3 linked regions of the Anolis sagrei genome follow. The protein of the gene in region 1 interacts with the protein of each later gene in a biochemical or structural test. Links are inferred from orthologs where the notes say so. Each region holds a gene or a part of one and is shown in the gene's direction. Other genes may lie near its edges.

Region 1 (7,719 bases):
CCAGTAGAATTCCAGCAGCTGTCCCATGGAGGCTGGGTGAGTTCTTTTCTCTCTTTAGAGGGCTTTTGAGGAGGGGTTGGTATTCCCACAATTTTCCAGGCTAATTTAGCCTGGAAAACTGTGGGAATACTGTCTGGACAGTATTCTGCTGTCCAGACACCAGAAGTAGTGGGTTTGTCCTGTGTCTTCCAAGAAAGTGTGGAATAAACCCACTATCAAATCAATTTACCACAAACCAGGGTTTTCCTGGTTTGTGGGAGATTAATGCAAGTTTGTCCAGGACGTCACCTGGACAGCCCCTTTTTTATTGCGGTAACTCCCGCAGTAAAAGAGCTGTCTAGATCCACCCTGAGACTCCACAGATTTGTTCATAAAGCTTCTGGACATATTTCAATATTGTATTGTGCATTTTTATAATAAAACCTTGAATGTTTGTGCATACATTTACCAAAGGAGCAAGTCAGCACCTGTGTCAGCTGCTGCTTCTTTAAGAAAGATTGTGAAATTCAAACTCTTTCACCTTAAGACACATTGCTGTGTTGCTCTATAAAATGAAGTGCTCGCTAAGCACAACGTGCTAAGCACAAAAATGAATTCATGGATTTCGCGTGTAGTGAAATAATTAAGGAAAACCTGTCAACAACAGGGATTATAGGAAATGGTTTGATCAGAACTTCTCCACTATCAACCAGTGAGTAACACCATAACACAATATCATCAAAATCTTACTAACAAACAGGTTAATGAAATAGGCAAGACAGAGTAAATTGTCTCTAAATGTTTTTATGATTAACACTACCTATGTTGCAATCATTTTCACTGTATTTTTTATTCCATAAGAAAGGCATTATTTAAGGGTTAGGAGCTTGCAAGCATGTGTGTTTAAAATCCTGTTTTTGATGGTTATCACTACCTATATTGTACTCATTTTCATTGCCTTTCTTTGGGAATAAAAATACATTATTTAAAGGTCAAGAGCATGCAAACGTGTTCTAAAACCCTGGTCACCATTGTAGTTGTGAACAGAAAAGCAGTATGGGAAAGGGCAAATTTACATTAAAAAGGTAGCAATATGAACTTTGATTTTTCTTCACCTACCAGTAGTTCCTTTAAAAAATAGTCGTGTTACTTTGTTATAGCATAAAATGAAAAAAGTGAGAGAATGAAAGAATCAAGCAGCAACTTTCGGAGTGAACTTTTGCCAGAGACAAATTTATGCTAGAAAACACATCTGGAATCCAGGAGAAAATTTCTTTGGAGAGAGGAAAGTTTGAGTAGCAAAATTATAAGAAGGAGAGGGTTAATGATGCATCTACTTCACCTTAACATGTCCTGTATATACCAGTGGTTCTCAACCTTCCTAATGCCATAACCCCTTAATACAATTCCTCATGTTAAGGTGACCCCCAACCATAAAATTATTTTCGTTGCTACTTCATGACTGTAATTTTGCTACTCTTATGAATCGTAACGTAAATATCTGATATGTAGGATGTATTTTCATTCACTGGACCAAATTTGGCACAAATACCCGATATACCCAAATTTGAATACTGGTGAGGTTTAAGGGGCATTGATTTTGTCATTTGGGAGTTGTAGTTGCTGGAATTTATAGTTCACCTACAATAAAAAGCATTCTTAACTCCACCAATGATGAAATTGAACCAAACTTGGCACACAGAACTCCCATGACCAGAAAATACTGGAGGGATTTGGGAGGAATTGACAGTGATTTAGGGGAGAGCATACCTGCTCTCCTCTCCCCACTTGGAGTCTCAGAAACAGACCTTCCCTTGGCTGAGAGGCCAGCTGAGAGTCCGGCCAATCACAGGAGGAGGAGGGCTTTTGGTGAGAGCATTTTCTATCTGTTTCCAAAAAGGAAGAGAAGGACAGGTGGAGAGATCTTCAGCCTTCTTTGTCAAAGGGGTTCGTAAGACCATCAGAAATATGTGTTTTTTGATGGTCTTTGGTGACCCCCCCCCCCGGAAACCCCCTCATGACCCCCCCCCCGGGGTCCCCACTTTGAGAAACGTTGGCATATACTTTTTTTCTAAATTGCCCCCTTTCAAAACTATTTTTGATAATCAAACTTATTAATATATAGCCTGGTCCTTGAACACTATATTTAATTATAAAGAACACCTCCAGCAATCAGTACTCTTCTTCATGATATGCAGTATGACTTTAATCCTACTCATTGTAAGCCTGTCTACATCATCAAAACCATTTCCTACACCACATATAACTGAAACTCTTCTGTTCAGGTCTACTGACCGAGCTCAATTCTGAAAACAATAGCCTGAGGTCGTATGGCTGTAATGTAAACGCTGCACATCTGTTGTACCATTAGAACTGTTCTACTCTCTGTAGCTTCTTTTGGGTTTGTTTCCATTCTCTAAATCATTTGCAACCTACAACCTTGACTGTATGCTATGTTAATATTTGCATTTCAACACAAATGATTTAATTAGACTTTTTTCCTTCCACACCTGGAAAAAATTCTGCTAAGGTTGATGAAATGATGACAGCATGATCCAAAGTTAGCTGAACCGGTAATTTAGTATGTTCCAACAACTAATCATTTGGAAAGTATAATTAAAATTTTCATGTTAGAGCTAGATATGTGAGCCAATACCTTTTGTCACTTTTTTCCCAAGTGTATCTGAATGAAAAAAACCAGTCCATGATATCTGGTACATTTGAAGATCTTTATTGTAATACTGTGAAGCTGCATCTACACTGTAAAATTAATGTAGCCTGACACCACTTTCACTGCCATGGCTCAATGCTATGGAGTCATAGGAGTTGTAGTCTTCTTTGCCAAACAGTGCTTCACCAAACTATAAATCCCACAATTTTATGGCATTGAGCCATGGCAGTAAAAGTGGTGTCAAGCTGTCTTAATTCTATAGTATAGATGTAGCTGCAGCTGTCCAGGCAGGTCTTTTACATTGATGGGCATTTTTATCTGGTGATATAAGCTTCAAAGGGAAATTAACATGATAATCCAGCAAGCACTGTGCATGGTAGGTAATTTGTTCTTCCATCTCACAGGAGAAATCCAATTCTGGAGATAAGGATCATGTAATCTCTCATAGAATATGAAAAATAAAATATGTTTTAAAAGTATCATTCAAAGATGGAATATTGGTAAAATCTTGCTGCTTTTTGTTTCCCTTCAAAAGAAAATATGAATGCCCTTCTGTTGAAATCTTATAACAAGAAAGAGATCATTTTCCAATACAGCTAAATAATGTTAGGCGCCTTCCACACAGTGGAATAAAATCCAGCGTTATCTGCTTTTAAAGGAATATATGGCAGTGTAGACTCGGATAATCCAATTCAAAGCAGATATTGTGGGGTTTTCTGCCTCGATATTCTGGGTTATATGGCTGTGTGAAAGGGCCCTTAGAACCTATGAGAAATTGGTTTGGGGCAGACGGTTATATCCTTGTCCTTCCCTCACCTGTTGTTTTGTCCTTCCCTGTACATTTTGCCTTCTCTTCCACTATCTCAGTTTTCCTTCACTTCCCTTCTCTTCCCTGTTTTCTCTGTACTACTCTTGCTCCTTATTGTTCATTGCTGTGATCAGTATAATAAATGTTTTCAAGACGGAGCTTGGGATGCTTTCTGAATGGCAATGACTGAAAGTAGCATTTCCACCAAGTTGATCATCCCGTTAAAGACAAGTAAAAATCACTGGGGTCATTGGATATTGTGTCCCCACCAAACAATTCTGATCTTTGTGTTGTCAAAGGCTTTCATGGCCAGAATCACTGGGTTGCTGTGAGTTTTCTGGACTGTATGGCCAATGGCCATGTTCCAGAAGCATTTTTTCGTGACGTTTCATCCATATGTATGGAAGGCATCCTCAGACCTCATCACCTCTGAAGATGCCTGGCATAGATGTGGGCAAAACACCAGGAAAGAATGCTTCTAGAACATGGCCCTACAGCCCGAAAAACTCACAGCAACCAAATCCTGATCTTAACGGTAAATGAGAAAACTGAATTTCATTAGGAATTGGATCTCTACTTAAAATTAAAGTTACAAGGGCCTTCTGGAATGCTACAAACAATGGATGCTTGTAAAACCTTAATAGGATACAGTCTGTTGGAAATTAGGGCTATCTTTCTGTTAGCACATTGCAATGCTTCAACGTGTTTTGCAACTTAGTTTTACATGTATCAACACACATCTCTTCTGACCTGCCACTCCTGCATTAACTCTGTATAGCAAACTAAATACTATCAAACATTGCTCCAAAAAGAGCAACGTTTTTGTGTTGCCCGCACTTTAATCGTATGTGTAACATAATATTTCTATTTCTATTGGTTACTGGAGCTTTTGCTACCAACATCTAAAAATACTTCAGGCTTGGATCCCAGTTTGAGTACTGTTTGTAAGAAATGGAAATGCTGTTTAATTGAAGTATCCTTTTCTTATTGGTTTCTTTGCATTTGTTTCTTTTCTTTGGATGACCAATGCAATGCTTATCTATCAACCGCTCCATCTAGAAATGTAATAAAAAAGCTTTGCAACAATAGGATGTTGCTGTGTTTGATATGGTTAGGGATACAGCACTCCCCAACCCTTTGGTAAATTGTTTTGCTGGAGGCTACAACATTCTCTGTTGGGAGTTGGTGGAGGCGTGAATAATTCGCCACTTATGAAGCTTCAGAGCTGAGTTGAGCCGCAGCATGTTGAGCTGCCCTTTGATGCAGACTGGTTGGACGGGTTCTTGCTCTACCCAAGAACCAGTTTGACGGGCCTGTTATGCCAACAAATTCTGGTATGATTCCATGTTCCAGAGAATTCAGAAACCTGCCCAGCCAGTTAAATGAAAGACATATTAGGTTATCCATTGCACATTGTGTATATCCGAGCTGCAGCAAAACTCCTCTCAGCATTCTCTAGTGTGGTCCACGGGTGATTTTATAGCCTTACCTTTCCCAGCTGGTATGATCAGGGGAAGAAAACATTAAATAACCCACCACTGCTGCTCAAGAGCAGAGTCAGACTGAACATTTACAATCAAAACAAAAAGGTAAGTATATAACGTCTCCCTTAATGCTGAATAGTCAATTTTAAGACCTTAACTTCAGACGTTGTGCCAAGAATTTTAGATATACTGCTGCATGCTTTAGTTGGGTATTAATATTATGTTGTATCATGTATATGACTCCTGCTAATATCATTTAGTGGTTCTCTTATGGGGCTGTTCATCACGTTAGTGGGAATGCAGGTCAAAGCATGAAGCAAGTCATGAGACATGCAAGGATAGGTAGCCAGAATGTTATCCTAAACATTTGGTAAGACCTTTAATTTTCCTTGGTATATAGTGCAATCCCTACATGTAAGTTCAAATTACTTAATGCCAAGGTAAATGAATACAAGATAGTAATATTAGCTTCTATATGTGAAATGTGTGGTAAATATATTGGTTTCACTATGGCAACATAATAAAGAAAAATGCTTAATATATGATTGTCAAAATGATGCTTTTCTTATAAGATGAACTCATAACACATTAACAAATACAATGGATTCAATTCACATATCCTGCCACACATTGATGCCTGGCACATGTTATAAGTTGCATGGAGAAAAACGAGTCCCTTTATTATATAGAGATTATACTGCTATCATATCCAAAATAAAATAGGTTCCTCATCTGTAGCCCCAGAAGAATGAGTTAAAATTGAGGTCTATGCATTTGTGATTTTCCAAGTTCAAATCAGAATTATGACAACTTTGAAAACAAAGTCTATAAAATCTGGTAACTGATTAACCAGTTTCCTGGGAGCAAGTTCCACTTAACTCATTGGGATTTACTTCTGAGTAGACATGTATAGGATTGTGCTCTGAAGCTAAGAATTATACTGGGCTGAGTTGAACAGAAAGGAATGAAGACAGGTTTTGTCATGCCTGTTTGTACAAAATAACTTTTGTTTGAACTAAAAGTGACTCTTCCTATCTCCTCTTTAAAGCAGGAAAAGGGGGATAAATCCTGTACTGTGTGGTCTCTTCTCATGAAAACTAGTGGATTTCAAACAAAATAAATAAAAAAATTATGAGGTAAGTAAAATACTGGCTGTTAATAATATATGGTTCAAAGCTGTTTAATAGATCTAAATAGCCTGTTAGACCTCAGGATAATCCCAGAGAGGAAATGTCAGCTTGATATGTGGCTATCCATGCTGATGAAGAGTTGTTTTTATTATTCCTTGGGAGGATGCAAATGTCTGTCATCTGATATAGCACTAAGCAGCATATTGCAGTGTACAAGGGAAAGCCACATATTTTTTAATAAATGGGATAATATATCTTCACCATTCCAAAAACTAAATTTTCTGATGTTGTTAATGTATTCCTTAATTTTAAATTTTAACAGCTCTTCTATGTCTGTTGATATAGAAGTCCTACTATATTCACCAGAGCTGTTGTGAATCTTAACTGAATAATATTGCAAGAAAGATGAATAATATTGCAGTAAGATTCCAAGTTAAGGATAAATTAGATCACATCTTATAGCCATCTTCAGCTAAATAGCATCTATATCAGGCATGGGCAAACTTTGGCCCTCCATGTGTTTTGGGCTTCAACTCCCACAATTCCTAACAGCCTACTGATTGTTAGGAATTGTGGGAATTGAAATCCAAAACACCTGGAGAGCCAACGTTTGCCCATGCCTAATCTAGATATGCTTAGTTGGAAGTAAGACACATTGAATTTAGTGGTACAGTACCTGCTTATGAGGAAAGATTTATAACAGTACTGCATCTCTTATCAAAACTACTATATAGCTTATTATATTGTTTTATATTTAGATATATATATAGAGAGAGAGAGGGGGAGGTTTGGACTACCTACAAAGTTAGCCAACAAGGTTAGGCTGGCTCTACACTCTAATCAGTTTGACACCCCCTTCTTCCTTTACTTTACATGGTTCATTAGAACTTAAGTATTTCTTATATTTCTGGCTGGGGAAAAAGGTGAATGAAAACCCAAGTACAGGACTGCTCACAAACAAAAGGAATAATCCTATGCCAAGATTATTCTGCTTTTGCACTGTTCCATAGTGCTGGCAAATCATTTCATATGTAAAGCAGGAGTAGGCAACTGTTGAAGTCATAGAGGCCACATTAGCCCGCCAAGAGACCTTGGAGAGACAGGCCCCTGTTATACCTGATCTCATGGAAACACCAATTTTGCCTGTAAAGTCCTGTAGAGGACACAGGGGTATGTTTTGGAGTCTTTCCGAACCCTAGAAAGCATTTTAGTCATGTTGAGATTTTTTAAAAATTGAAATTATTTGCAAATTTGTGAGAGATCCACAAATTTCCAAAGGTTTGTGAAAAAAACCCTCTATATCCCCCTAAAGAGCAATTTAGTGGTGGGGGATAAGTCAATTTTTTTTATACCCAGGACCCACAAATACAAAATGTGGGGGCTGCTTGCACACTTGCCCACTTCAATGGAAAGTATGTCATATGCCATGTTCAACTAACTTTTTATGGTGACATGCTTTAAATTTTCATTATACTGCAGTCTATTATCTAGAGTCCACAGCATGACCTATGTATGTCAACTCAGGAGTAAGGCCCAATGTGTTCAACCATGGCTTACTTTAAGGTAAGTTAGAATAGAATTCCAACCAGGCAGTGAGATCCTATAGAGGAGGAGGAGGAGATTCTATGGTGGAGCATCTGTCACATT
Region 2 (7,758 bases), on another chromosome or scaffold:
CAAGAAATGTGCCTGTATCTTTAAATACATGAAGTTATCAGTAAACAAACCTTGTTATCTTTAAAAGAAGTCTGCTTGCATCATTGTCTGCTGAAAGCACCAAACAGAAACAAAATATCTACATGCCCAGTGATCATTCATAACCAAATAAGCTCTGCTCCCCTGATGGTCTGTGATCCTAACAGGTCATGATCCATTATCCCCAATATGTGCTGCTATTTGGAAATACATAATTCTCTCTCAACATGTTCTAGAAGATTCCTCAAGATATTCACCATTATATCCTACATGTGGGCAAACTTTTAAAAAAATAGCACATATAGTTATGACCTTTTCAATACGGAAATATCTGTGTAACCGGTTTGCTACTATTTGTTAATTATCATTGTTAAGCTACTTTTGACATTGTTTGTATTTTGAGTTCTTTTATCTCCCTAATTATTATCTCCCCACCCAAACATGCATGACCTTTGCAGCTTTCTTTGCATCCAAGGCCACATTCCTCACCTATGAGAATGAGTTTGAAGTCCATGAAACCATACACCAGATGAATTGCATTAGTGATTAAGGTTCACAGAGACCTCATTTTTGTTGCTTTTTAAATAATAACAATTATTGCTTTTAAATTTATGTCTGTACATACATCTCAGAATGCTGTGCAAATCTATGTTCTCTCTTTTTCTGTGGGGTGTTAAGTGGCCACATTGGGAGGAGATTATCTAGTGTCTTCTGTAGTAAAGGCACAAAGGTAGATCAGAATGGGAATTGTACAGCACTTGAGATGATTTTGAACTGTAATTTCCAAGAGTTCAAGTTCAAGTTCACTTTATTACAGTCATTACAGTCAGCTCATCAGAAGAGTTCAAACCAATAGTGTCAATGGAGACAAATACTATGTTTTACAGTCCAACAACATCTAGAGGGCCTCTTGACTCCCACGCCAAAATAAATCTATACCTGAGTTAGAGACAGGATACCCAATCTGCTGTTATTGTGTGCCTGAAATGTATTTCTGACTTATGGTGAACCTATCATGGATTTTTCTTGGCAAGGTTTGTTCAGAGGGAGTTTGCCTTTTTCCTTCTCTGGATGCATGTGTGACTTGACCAAAATCACCCAGTGAGTTTCCACTGAGCACAGATTTCAACCCTGGTTTACCAATGTTGTAGTCCAATGCTCAAGCTACTACACCTCATTGGTTGTCTTTCCATCTGTTACCTAGTCACAAAATACCATTTACATCAGGCATGGGCAAACTTCAGCCCTCCATGTGTTTTGGACTTCAACTCCCACAATTCCAAACAGCCTCAGGTCCTTTTCATTTAAATGGCTGAGGGGGGAAAGGAAGAGGTCTGAGGCTGTTAGGAATTGTAGGAGCTGAAGTCCAAAACACCTGGAGAGCCAAAGTTTGTCCTGATCTACATTCTATTCTTTGTGGAAGCTCAATCTAAAAGCCAGCAACCTATTTCTGAGTGGATCCAGAACAATTATTTCACATCCACTTAAACCACTGCTAACATGACTCACTTCTTCAGTAAGAATGGTTAAATGCACAGGAAAATGGGAAAATCAGAAAAGAGATATAACCTCAGCCAAGTCAAGTGTTGGGACACTCAGATTAATGCTGTTCATTCAACTGAATGCTTTTGCCTTCCAGATCTGTAAACACAATGGTCAGGTTTGAATTGGCCAAAGTTTCAAGCACTTTTTGAAACTTCAGCTCACAATGCTCCCAGCCAACAGGGTCACTTGGAGCTACAGTCCAAACAAATATCTTTTCCCAGAACTGACCCAGCTGTCACAAAAAAGTATCTCTGCAATAAATCAGAACCATTGCTGTCCCTGGATTGGTTTTGCTCTCATTCTGTTTACTTCCTGTTGGAGGAAAGAACATCAACAACATCTTGTGTAAGTATTGTATCATTTGTCAAATAACCATCAGAAATATTTTGGTGTCCCTGAATTTGCAGGTAACAGTTTCATGACAAGAAACTAAATAGTTTTACTGGTAATTGTTGCAAACTAAATTGATTTAACAGTGTGTATTCAAGATGCTACTGAAACAACTGGAAATCCTTTCACATTGAACTTAAATTTGCGCACTAAAATAATAGAGGATTGGCTGCTGAAGATGTACAACCTAGAGGAAATGCACAAACTGACAATTCTCATTATGGATGATACAACAGAGAAGTTTAAGCAAGATTGGCAACTGGTGCTTCATACCCAAGGGTGCATTTACACCGAAGATATAATGCATTTTGACAACACTTTGCCATGGCTCAATGCTATGGAACTATGGTAGTTGTAGTTTTAGAAGGTCTTTAGCTTTCTCTGCCCAAGAGTGCACTCTCAAACCACAACTCCCAGGACTCTGTAGCATTGATCCATGGCAGTTAACGTGCATTAATTCTACAGTGTTTTCTGCTGCACTAGAAATTACAGTGCAAAGTAGTGGAGTCCAACTATAAGAAGAGATTCCACCTAAACATTAGAAAGAATCTCTTGATGGTAAGAGCTGTTCAGTCATGGAATATGCTGCCTTGGAAAGTGGAGAGGTCTCCTTCTCTGGAACTTTGTAAATAGAGGCTGAAAGGCCACTATTGTTTATTTCTGCATAATAGAGTTGGACTGACTGGCCTTGCGGTCTTCTCAAACTCTGCGATTTTCCAGTTTCACCACTAACACAACTAGGTTGCAAGTCCCATCATTCTTAGCTATACTGGCAAAGAGTTGTACCTAAGCATCAATTGGGAATTGAGACTTGGGAATACTGTGTAAACAGAGTTCGGATAGTCATCTGTTGGGCTGTTGTAGGTTTTTCAGGCTATATGGCCATGTTCTAGAAGAAAAACTAAGGAGCAGGCCTAGTTTCCAACAGACCCCACAACCTCTGAGGATGCCTGTCATAGATACAGGCAAAATGTCAGGAGAGAATGCTTCTATTACATGCCTATATAGCCTGAAAAGACTACAACAACCCAGTGATTCCAGCCATGAAAGCCTTCGACAATACATTGAACATCTCTAAGGGGAGAAACTGTTCCAAGACACACAAAATTTGGAAAAACTAAGGAGCAGGCCTAGTTTCCAACAAACCTCACAACCTCTGAGGATGCCTGCCATAAATGTGGGTGAAACATCAGGAGAGAATGCTTCTAGAACATGGCCATACAGCCTGGAAAATCTACAACAACCAGTGATTCCAATCATGAAAGCCTTCGACAATACATTGAACATCTCTAGGAGGAGAAACTGTTCCAAGACACACGAAATTTGGAAAAACTAAGGATCAGGCCTAGTTTCAAACAGACATCACAACCTCTGAGAATGCGTGCCATAGATGCAGGTGAAACGTCAGAAGAAAATGCTTCTTTACATGGCCATATAGCCCGAAAAACCTACACACAACGGGTTAGGGTTTCACCATCAAAGAACTCTTACATTCCTTCTATATTATTTGTCTCCAACCTGGCTTACATTAGCTAAGTCTCTCTTGTCCAAACAGCGCTCCCAAAGGAGTGATGCGGCATCTCCGTAATGCTTGGAGCTTCCAGACCCAGCTATCATACTATTACAGTGGTTTTCAACCTGTGGGTCCCCAGATGTTTTTGGCCTACAACTCCCAGAAATCCCAGCCAGTTTACCAGCTGTTAGGATTTCTGGGAGTTGAAGACCAAAAACATCTGGGGACCCAGAGGCGGCCCTAAGTAATTTTCAACGGTAAGCAAACAGTATTTCCCCCCCCCCCCCAACCAATCATTGATATATATTTTCTGTTTGTCGTGGGAGTTCTGTGTGCCATATTTGGTTTAATTCCATCATTGGTGGAGTTCAGAATACTCTTTGATTGTAGGTGAACTATACATCCTAGTAACTACATTTGCTGCACTTGCTCCCTTGCCTGGCCCGCTTTGGGTCTGGAGGCATGCCCCGGCGTGTGCACCAAAAGTCACCTCTTCTCCTGACTTTCTCCTCAGCCATTGGGACCAAGAGAGAGAGAGAGACAGAGGTGGAGATGCCCACCTTTCCTGAAGGTAGGCGCAAAAACAAAGGAGGGAGCAGAGGTGGGAGATACCTCCAGCCGGAGGGTCTCTCTCTCTCTCTCTCTCTCTCTTGGTCCCAATGGCTGAAGAGAAAGTCAGGAGAAGAGGCGACTTTTGGTGCGCACACTGGGGTCTCAGACACGCCTCCGGACCCGAAGCGAGCCAGGCGCGGCGGCTCAGCCCCTTGGCCTACCCGCGGATTGGGGAGAGGAGAGGAGGTGGGTGGAGCGCCAGGGGATCGGGAAAGGGAGCCGGTCATGGGGAAGGGATCGAACACGGAGAACGATTGAGCGCCGGTTCTGCTCGCACACCCGGTGGCCAGGTGGAGAAGGAACGAGAGAGGCGAGGCTCAAGGGCCCGGCCCCTTTGAGAAGAGGATCGCCCGGCAGCGAGGCAAGAAAGCCGAGGCTCCCCCCGGACTGCTAGGGCTGTTGTGAGCTGAGGGGGCGCTCCTCAAGTGGTGGTGGAGGGGCATTTACAGAGGTGCCTCTGCGCCCCTGGCAAAAAAAAAAAGTGTTCTGCGACCGCTTACTTTGCGTAATGGACAAGCCGCCCCTGTGGAGACCTCAGGTTGAGAATCACTGTACTATTAGGAAGCGCTGACCTACAACATCCCAACAGTACAGCTGTTTGGGAAGCCTCTGGGCTGCAGGCAAGCAGGCAGGGAGGCAACTGGCCAGCAGGTGGCGCTCAAGGAAGCCGTATTATTGGGACTCCGCTGCGCCACCCGACTTCTAGAAGATCGCTCGCCTCTTCCCTCCTCGTTTCCTTCCCGGCGGCAAAGCAGGCGGTTCTTGCGACAGGGAAGGTGGCCGCTGCGTGCTTGTGGTTGCGCCTGGAGACAGGCAAGGATCGCGGGCGCAGTCTGGGGCGCGCTGGGTGGGTGGCTTCGACGCCGCCCCCTCTTTCCCTCCTTCACTGACGTCAGATCCAGGTTCCGGGGTGGGGAGAGAAGCCCAGAAGGAGCCACGCGCAGTGGGAAGGACCCTGCGCTCGGGCTGGACGGCGGGCTCTGCTCGGCACGGGGCTGCTGCGTCCTCTTTGGGAGCTTCCCATTTGACGGGTTGTTTTGGCAACATCTGGCTCGCTTTCCCCTCCCTCCCCCCGGAGCGCGCGCCTCGGGTTGCGTCCCCTTCCCTTCCCTTGCTTGCCTCGCGCCCTTCGATGGTTGGCTCCGGCCGAGATGAGCCGCCCGTCCTCCGCCGGACCCAGCGCTAGCAAAACCTGCGGCAAGCAGCAGCAGCCCCAGCAGCAGCCGCCGCCGCCACCACACGCTCCGGCTCCGTCTCCAGCAGCGGCTGCGGCGCCTCCCGCTACCAACAACGCTGCCGCCATCTCTGCGGCCGGAGGCGGCTCCTCCGCCCTGCCCAGCACCGCTGCCGGGCTCTCCAGCCCCGGAGCAGGAGGAGGGGGAGGCGGCGGCAGCGGGGAAGGCGGCGGAGGGGGCCCGGTGTCGTCGTCCTCCTCGTCCTCGTCCCCGCAGCACCACGAGCTGACCTCGCTCTTCGAGTGCCCCGTCTGCTTCGACTACGTGCTGCCGCCCATCCTGCAGTGCCAGGCCGGGCACCTGGTCTGCAACCAATGCCGGCAGAAGCTGAGCTGCTGCCCCACGTGCCGGGGGTCGCTCACCCCCAGCATCCGCAACCTGGCCATGGAGAAGGTGGCCTCGGCCGTCCTCTTCCCCTGCAAGGTAAGCCAGAGAGGGAGGGAGGAGGCGCTCTGACCACTTCGGGCACTTTCAGGCTCAGCAGGAGCCCAAAGCTGCGCCTATAGCAGACCTGGGCCAACTTGGGCCCTCCAGGTGTTTTGGACTCCAACTCCCACCATTCCCGACAGCCTCAGGCCCCTTCCTTCTCCCCCTCAGCCGCTTATGGGCAAACTTGGGCCCTCCAGGTGTTTTGGACTCCAATACCCACCTTTCCTAACAGCCTCAGGCCCCTTCCTAATAATAATAATAATAATAATGGGCCATCCAGGTGTTTTGGACTCTAACTCTCACCATTCCTAACAGCCTCAGCCCCATTCCTTCTCCTCCCCTAGCCACTTATGGGAAAACTTGGGCCCTCCAGGTGTTTTGGACACCAACTCCCACCATTCCCAACAGCCTCAGGCCCCTTCCTTCTCCCCCTCAGCTGCTTATGGGCCAACTTGGGACCTCCAGGTGTTTTGGACTCCAATACCCACCGTTCCTTACAGCCTCAGCCCCCTTCCTTCTCCCCCTCAGCCGCTTATGGGCCAACTTGGGCCCTCCAGGTGTTTTGGACTCCAATACCCACCGTTCCTAACAGCCTTAGGCCCCTTCCTTTCCCCTCTCAGCTGCTTATGGAAAACTTGGACCTTCCAGGTGTTTTGGACTCCAACTCCCACCATTCCTAACAGCCTCATGCCTCTTCCTTTCCCCTCTCAGCTGCTTATGGGAAAACTTGGGCTGTCCAGGTGTTTTGGACTCCAATACCCACCTTTCCTAACAGCCTCAGGCTCCTTCCTTCTCCCCCTCAGCCACTTATGGGCCAACTTGGGCCCTCCAGGTGTTTTGGACTCCAACTTCCACCATTCCTAACAGCCTCAGACCCCTTCCTTTTCCCCCTCAGCCGCTTAAGCGAGGATCAGTACTGCTCTTCTTGTGTCATCCTTTGAAAGGAAGAGCCAGGCAAATAGAGTGACTGTGTCCCTATATTGCAGGCATGGGCAAACTTGGGCCCTCCTGGTGTTTTGGACTTCCACACAGCACCCATAGCCTAGGCCTGCCATAGACTCATTATAACTTACCTGACTGAATCATTGGTTGATAGAGGTGATTGCTGTTTTCCAATCATTGTCTGTTGGATACAAATATGATCTCAATCCACAGAAGGTTCAACCTGTGGATGCAGAGGGCCAATTGCAAGTCCCACTGAATTCAGTAAGGCATAGAGTGCATCTACCCCAGGCTTGGGCAAACTTGGGCCCTCCAGGGGTTTTGGACTCCAACTCCCACCATTCCCAACAGCCTCAGGCCCCTTCTTTTTTCCCCTCAGCAGATTATGGGCAAACTTGGGCCCTCCAAGTATTTTGGACTCCAATTCCCACCTTTCCTAACAGCCTCAGCTCCCTTCCTTTTCCCCCTCAGCCACTTATGGGTGAACTTGGGCCCTCCAGCACAGGACCCCCACAAAAGTGGAGAAACAACACATTTTTTAAAATGCATTTTTTTCTGACAGAAGATTTCTCTGGGTCCTCCAGCCCAACTCCTGTACAACCACAGAATCACACTGGAGGATGTCTAAATGCCTAGAGAAGAGTTCCCTCTAGAAGAGACATGGGCAAACTTTAGCCCTCCATGTGTTTTGGACTCCAACTCCCACCATTCCTAACAGCCTCAGGCACCACTTAAGTGACTGAGGGGGGAAAGAAAAGGGTCAGAGGCTGTTAGAAATAGTGGGAGTTGGAGTCCAAAGCACCTGAAGGGCCCAAGTTGGCCCAGGCCTGATCTATCAGGTCTCTAGATCTAAGAAGTCATCCCCACCCCACTCTATGAACTTCCTCACCTGCGATGCTGTTTCATCACAATTCAAGAAAGATATAGATGGTCCCTGAGTTGCAAACATCCAACTCACCATTAAGAATGGGGGTGAAACAGTAGGAAGTGATCGAAATCTACCCCTAGGAAAGGCAAATCACTCCTGGTTGACTTATTATCATTGGGAAAAAATGTCTCCTCTCAAGCTTTATC
Region 3 (7,274 bases), on another chromosome or scaffold:
TATCAGGAAAAATTCAAATATTTTAAGGTTCTCACTGACAACACTCCATTTTTTATCAGTGATTCTTTTTATGACATTCTAGACAATTTTGATGTTAGTATAGTATTTTTTCATAATTGCATAAATAAACCTTAGATCATAAGTATAGCATTATTGATGACTACATCTTTACAACTATGTATTTTGGTATAGAGGTTTTTTTTTTAAGAAGGTCACAATCCTAAATACACTTAATTGGGAACAAATATCTTAAGACATAAAATAATATCTTTTTGAATAGAGAACAATTTCAAAAGCGAGAGAGAAAGAGAGAGGGAACATGCTAAGCAAATGTCTCTGTCTAAGCTGCCTGGATGCCATATTTAAGTTGCTCAGATCTCTTTGGAGGAATTTAAACAAATAACATAAATTAAATAAATGTGAGCTTTTACTGCACCATTGACTTAATTGGTTTAAAAGGTGACTAAGGATCAATGAGGTTAAAAAACACACAGTTAGAAGCATCTGACTTACAAGAGACTCATAGTTAAGAACAGGGCTGAGACAACAGGGAGAAAAATCTATCCCTCAGCAGGGATGTTCACTCCTGGAAGAGTTATACTGGGAAAAAGGTCTCTCTATTGAAGTTTTTTCCATCAGTCCTTGTTTCCACAAAAGGCCAAATGTTTCAACATCCAGAAAGTGAGGCAGAAGGGGGGATCCTTTGTTGGGAGGTGTTAGCTGGCCCTGATTGATACTTGCCAGCAATTCACGTTTTTTGAGTGTTGTTCTTTATTTACTGTTCTGATTTTAAATTTTTTTAAATACTGGTAGCTAGATTTTGTTTTCTCCTTTCTGTTGAAATTGTCCACATGCTTGTGGATTTAAATGGCCTCTCTGTATAGCCTGACATGGTGGTTGCTAGTGGTGCATTATCTCTGTGTTCCCAAATAACATGCTGTGTCCAGGCCTGTCCACCACCTAATACCTCCCAACAAAGGTTCCCCGGGCAGCAATCAGCCAGGCTTTCAAGCTACAAGGCTAATCAAAGTGGGCAATTGCAACATTCACTTTTGCCTCAAGCAGACAAGTTTCTTTCTCCCACCCTGGGCATTCTCATTTTTCTAGTTTCCAACAGACCTCACAACCTCTGAGGATGCCTGTCATAGATGTGGGTGAAACGTCAGGAGATAATGCTTCTGGAACATATAAAGCCTATAAAGCCCTAAACGGTTCTGGCCCTACTTACCTCTCCGAACGCATCTCCTCCTATGAACCGACTAGGACACTAAGATCATCTGGGGAGGCCCTGCTCTCTGTCCCACCTGCATCACAGGCGTGCTTGGCGAGGACGAGAGACAGGGCCTTCTCAGTGGTGGCCCCTCGGCTGTGGAACGCCTTGCCTGCAGATATCAGATCGGCCCCTTCCCTGCTGGCGTTTTGGAGGAAAGTGAAGACCTGGCTGTTCGAACAAGCATTTGATTAAACAGTGTAATTGAACATAGGAATACGAAATAATGGATGATGAGACTGGATTCTGATTTTACTGTTGAGGCGCTAATGATTGTTATACTGATGTTAATGATTTATGTGATAATTGTTTTTAATTGCCCTATACTTGTTTTGTGATATTTTGTATCGATGTTGTTCACCGCTTTGAGTCGCCTGAGGGCTGAGAAAAGCGGTATACAAATAAAGTAAATAAATAAAATAAATAAACATGACCATGCAGCCCGGAAAACCCACAGCAACCTAGTTAAAGTGTTGTTGTTGTTCATTCGTTCAGTCGTCTCCGACTCTTCGTGACCTCATGGACCAGCCCACGCCAGAGCTCCCTGTTGGCCGTTACCACCCCCAGCTCCTTCAAGGTCAGTCCAGTCACTTCAAGGATGCCATCCATCCATCTTGCCCTTGGTCGGCCCCTCTTCCTTTTGCCTTCCACTTTCCCCAGCATAATTGTCTTCTCTAGGCTTTCCTGTCTCCTCATGATGTGGCCAAAGTACTTCAACTTTGTCTCTAGTATCTTTCCCTCCAGTGAGCAGTCGGGCTTTATTTCCTGGAGGATGGACTGGTTGGATCTTCTCGCAGTCCAAGGCACTCTCAGCACTTTCCTCCAACACCACAGCTCAAAAGCATCGATCTTCCTTCGCTCAGCCTTCCCTAAGGTCCAGCTCTCACATCCGTAGGTGACTACAGGGAAGACCATGGCTTTGACTAGGCGGATCTTTGTTGCCAGTCTGATGTCTCTACTCTTCACTATTTTATCGAGACTGGACATTGCTCTCCTCCCAAGAAGTAAGCGTCTCCTGATTTCCTGGCCACAGTCTGCATCTGCAGTAATCTTTGCACCTAGAAATACAAAGTCTGTCACGGCCTCCACGGTTTCTCCCTCTATTTTCCAGTTGTCAATCATTCTTGTTGCCATAATCTTGGTTTTTTTGACGTTTAGCTGCAACCCGGCTTTTGCGCTTTCTTCTTTCACCTTGATTAGAAGGCTCCTCAGCTCCTCCTCGCTTTCGGCCATCAGAGTGGTGTCATCTGCATATCTGAGGTTGTTAATGTTTCTTCCAGCAATTTTCACCCCAGCTTTGCATTCATCCAGCCCCGCACATCGCATGATGTGTTCTGCATACAAGTTAAAAAGGTTGGGTGAGAGTATGCAGCCTTGCCGTACGCCTTTCCCAATCTTGAACCAGTCTGTTGTTCCGTGGTCAGTTCTGATTGTTGCTACTTGGTCCTTGTACAGATTCCTCAGGAGAGAGACAAGGTGGCTTGGGATGCCCATCCCACCAAGAACTTGCCACAATTTATTATGATCCACACAGTCAAAGGCTTTAGAATAGTCAATGAAGCAGAAGTAGATGTTTTTCTGAAACTCCCTGCCTTTCTCCATTATCCAGCGGATATTGGCAATCTGGTCTCTCGTTCCTCTGCCTTTTCTAAACCCAGCTTGAACATCTGGCAACTCTCGCTCCATGTATTGCTGGAGTCTTCCTTGCAGGATCTTGAGCATTACCTTACTGGCATGAGAAATAAGGGCCACTGTACGGAAGTTTGAGCAGTCTTTCGCATTTCCCTTTTTTGGTATGGGGATATAAGTTGATTTTTTCCAGTCTGATGGCCATTCTTGTGTTTTCCATATTTGCTGGCAAATGGCATGCATCACCTTGACACCATCATCTTTTAAGATTTAAAACAGTTCAGCTGGGATCCCATCATCTCCTGCTGCCTTGTTGTTAGCAATGCTTCTTAAGGCCCATTCAACCTCACTCCTCAGGATGTCTGGTTCTAATTCATTCACCACACCGTCAAAGCTATCCTCGATATTGTTATCCTTCCTATACAGATCTCCTGTATAGTCTCGCCACCTTCTCTTGATCTCTTCAGCTTCTGTTAGGTCCCTGCCATCTTTGTTTCTTATCATACCAATTTTTGCCTGAAATTTACCTCCAATGTTTCTAATTTTCTGGAAGAGGTCTCTTGTCCTTCCTATTCTGTTGTCTTCTTCCACTTCCATGCATTGCTTATTTAAAAATAGTTCCTTATCTCTTCTGGCTAACCTCTGGAATTGCGCATTTAACTGGGCATATCTCCCCTTTTCACTGTTTCCTTTTGCTTTCCTCCTTTCTTGGGCTACTTCCAGTGTCTAAGCAGACAACCATTTTGCCTTCTTGGTTTTCTCTTTCTTTGGAATGTACTTTGTTGCCGTCTCCTGAACAATGTTGCGGACTTCTGTCCATAGTTCTTCTGGGACTCTGTTTACTAAATCTAGTCCTTCAAATCTGTTCTTCACTTCCACTGTATATTCGCTAGGAATGTTAGTGAGATCGTATCTAACTGGTCTGTGTATTTTCCCTGATCTCTTTAGTTTTATTCTAAATTGGGCAATAAGAAGTTCGTGATCTGAGCTACAGTCAGCCCCAGGTCTTGTTTTCACCGACTGGATGGATGTCCGCCACCTTTGGCTGCAAAGGATGTAGTCAATCTGATTTCGGTGCTGACCATCTGGTGTTGTTAAACTGCATTAAAGTGTTGTTAAACTGCATTAATTCCACAGTCGTAGACGCACCCTCAGTCATTTGGGAGTATTTCCCACCTGACCCACAAGGAGGAGAAATAAAGCAGGTAGGGCGGGAAATGTGATGACAATGGGTGTCTGAGGGAAGCCCGCCGAGGATTGGCCGAGGAGGAAGTGTTCGCGCGCTGAGCGGCAGGCAGGGCGACCAATGGGGGCAGGGCGCGGGAAGGGAGGGGGTTCTTTGACGCGGGCGCGGATTGGGCGGCGTGAGGGAGGCGGGCCGGCGGCTTTTACGAGGCAACGGCCGCGCCAGCGAATGGGGTGGCTGCCCTGCGCGAGGCGTCGTGGTGGTCGGTGGGGTTCTCCTCAGAAGTCGGAGCAGCAGCAGCCGCCCGCCGTGTTCATGGAGGCTCCTCCTCCTCCTCCTCCGGCCTTGCCCACAGGTGGCGGCGACGGCGGAAGTGACGGTCAGTGTGGGATGCTTGCCGTTGGGGGAAGATGGCGGCGGTGGCGGCTGTGCTAGGCAGCGAAGGAGGTAAACAACGGAGAGGGAAGGGAGGCTGAGGCAGGGAGGAGCGGGCCTGGGCCGAGAGGCTGCCTTTCCGCCAGGCTCCCGCCTCTTCTCCCTCGCCCGCCTTGATGTTCCCCAGAGAGGCCCCTCTCCTCACGGCCAGCGTCTCCGGCGATGCTGAGAGGTAGGTGCAGCTCTTCGCCCCCTCCTTTGGTCGTGGCCGAGGCCCCTCAGGTAGAGCTTACCCCGGTCCCATCTTCTATCTTCTATATATAAATGCTCTGTGCATAATGAGTACCTTAAAAACAAAAGAACGAAATCGCACCAAATTTGATAACAAAACGTCTCACAACACAAGGATGTATGATTTTTGTCATTTGAGAGTTGTAGTTGCTGGGATTTATAGTTCACCTACAATCAAAGAGCATTCTGAACTCCATCAACGATGAAACTGAACCAAACTTGGCACACAGAACTCCCATGACCAACAGAAAATATTGGAAGGGTTTGGTTGGCATTGACCTTGAGTTTGGGAGTTGTAGTTCCAACAATGATGGATCTGGACCAAACTTGGCACAAGCACTAAATACGCCCAAATATGAATAGAGATGGAGTTTGGGGCAAATCGACCTTGACATTTGGGAGTTGTAGTCACTGGGATTCACAGTTCACCTACAATCAAAGAACATTCTGAACCCCACGAACGACAGAATCGGGGCAAACTTCCCACACAGAACCCCCATGACCATCAGAAAATACTTAAGGCCATCCAATCCAACTCTCTTCATCAGGACAAGAAAACGTAATCAAAGTCCTCCTGATAAAGAGCCATCCAGCCATAGAGATAGATAGATAGATATGATTCACACACAGAGAGATATAGTATCATAGATTTGAAAGGGACCCTTAAAGAAGGACAATGATACGTTGCGTGTTCCAGGGTGGGAAAACCAGACATTAACAAAGAAACAGCAAGAAATACTGTTTACCTACAAGCATAAAGGAATTACATATATTAGAAACCAACAGTTTCTCATTACTTTATTTTCCAGTTCAACAGCTAGTCCCTTATAAAACACCTTCTCCTTTCTGAAAGGATGTAGAATTCACGCACTTGAGACCACTAGGAATGCTGTGGCATCCTGGGAGTTGTGCAGGGTGTTTCAAAAGGACGGACCCAATTTCAAAGCAGTATACTTTTGTCATGGCAACATGTTCCAACTGCACACGTTTGCGAATGGAAAATATCTCACTAGGCCTTATGTTGTGGGGTTGCCACCTTGCAAATTGAGTCCAGGGGCTGTTTGTTATTTCAAGTAGTGAGAGGTTTATTCATGGGAGGTTAGGTCCATCTTTTTGAAATACCCAATAGTTTGTTGTTAAAGTGCTGAGCTGCTGAACTTGCTGACTGAAAGGTTGGCAGTTCAAATCTGGGGAGCAAGGCCATCTCCCGCTGTTAGGCCCAGCTTCTGCCAACCTAGCAGTTTGAAAACATGCAAATGTGAGATCAATTGGTACCGCTTCGGTGGGAAGGTCACGCCACTCCATGCTGTCATGCCGGCCACATGACCTTGGAGGGGTCTACGGACAACACAGGCTCTTTGACTTAGAAATGGAGATGAGCATCACCCCCCAGAGTCGGATACGACTGAACTTAACATCAAGGGGAACCCTTTACCTTTATAGTTTGTCGAGGCATCATCACCCTAGAGCAGAGAAAGCCAAAGAACCGTGTAAAACTGCAGCTCCCATCATTCCATAGCATTCAGCCATAGCAGCTCACGTGGTGTCAGACTGTATCCATTTTATTTATTTATTTCGAGCATTTATATCCCATCCTTCTCACGCCCGAAGAGGGACACAGGGCAGCTTGCAGTTATAATTACATTCTACAGTTACAATCCCTAAAATGGATATTCATACTGAGTCAGTTTACTCTTCTCACATTCATCCCCTATATTTTGGGGAAAGAGGGACAGTTTGATTGAGGTGTCTGAGAGGACAGCACTGTTACAGAATTGAAGGGTAGTAATGCAATCCTAATGCATTTTTTGTGTGTGGGGCAGTTTCTGCTACTCCTACTTAATATTTTGTAAAATCTCTGACTGGCAGGTATTTTTCCCTCTCTGGTGTTCTTAATGTCTTTGAGGGTATAGTGATGATGCTATCTTCCCCTTTCTAATTCCACACTTGATAAAGAGGCCGGGAAAAATTATGTATTATTATTATTTACCACACTTGTATCCCTCCTTTCTCAACCCCGGAGGGGACTCAAGGCAGCCTTCCAAAGGCAACAATTCAATGCTGCATGTATACATACATCAGTGAATAAACAAAACATTAAAACCAACCATTTAAAACATAACATTAAACAACAATTTAAATAACATATTCCAGGTCATATTCCAGTGCCAGTCCAGATGGGCACTATAGTGATATGAGCACTATAGTGATGCCTCCAGAATATAGCACACTCAATTGGCCAGTCAGTTTTTGTACTTTAGCACCCTTCAACCCTTATAATTATCCATGCTGGCTGGGACCTCTGGTAGCTAAAGGTGAAAACATCTGGATTGAGAACCACCATACGGTACTTATATTAAAGATACTTTATACTGCATTGAAGAGCCAGCATGGTGTAATGGTTTGAGTGTTGGACTATACTACTGGGAGACTGGAGTTTGAATCCCTGTTTAGCCATGGAAACCCACTGGCGGAATATGGCCAAGTTGTTCTCTCTCCGCCTTAAAGGAAGGCAAGTGTTGC

What was found.
Region 2: the proteins of RBBP8 (region 1) and SIAH2 form a complex in vitro, tested with the Homo sapiens proteins (2 studies listed by BioGRID). The link is inferred for Anolis sagrei from reciprocal best matches to the Homo sapiens genes RBBP8 and SIAH2.
Region 3: the proteins of RBBP8 (region 1) and KLHL15 form a complex in vitro, tested with the Homo sapiens proteins (2 studies listed by BioGRID, with this or other methods). The link is inferred for Anolis sagrei from reciprocal best matches to the Homo sapiens genes RBBP8 and KLHL15.

What each region holds. Positions count from the first base shown.
Region 1 is NC_090024.1:59,992,820-60,000,538, reverse strand, and holds the start of RBBP8 (DNA endonuclease RBBP8), read left to right. Parts: upstream 1-4,714; 5' UTR 4,715-5,047; intron 5,048-5,990; 5' UTR 5,991-6,078; intron 6,079-7,719. UniProt on the Homo sapiens protein: Endonuclease that cooperates with the MRE11-RAD50-NBN (MRN) complex in DNA-end resection, the first step of double-strand break (DSB) repair through the homologous recombination (HR) pathway.
Region 2 is NC_090023.1:241,455,002-241,462,759, reverse strand, and holds the start of SIAH2 (E3 ubiquitin-protein ligase SIAH2), read left to right. Parts: upstream 1-4,757; 5' UTR 4,758-5,229; coding exon 5,230-5,736; intron 5,737-7,758. UniProt on the Homo sapiens protein: E3 ubiquitin-protein ligase that mediates ubiquitination and subsequent proteasomal degradation of target proteins.
Region 3 is NC_090023.1:86,712,739-86,720,012, forward strand, and holds the start of KLHL15 (kelch-like protein 15), read left to right. Parts: upstream 1-4,273; 5' UTR 4,274-4,692; intron 4,693-7,274. UniProt on the Homo sapiens protein: Substrate-specific adapter for CUL3 E3 ubiquitin-protein ligase complex.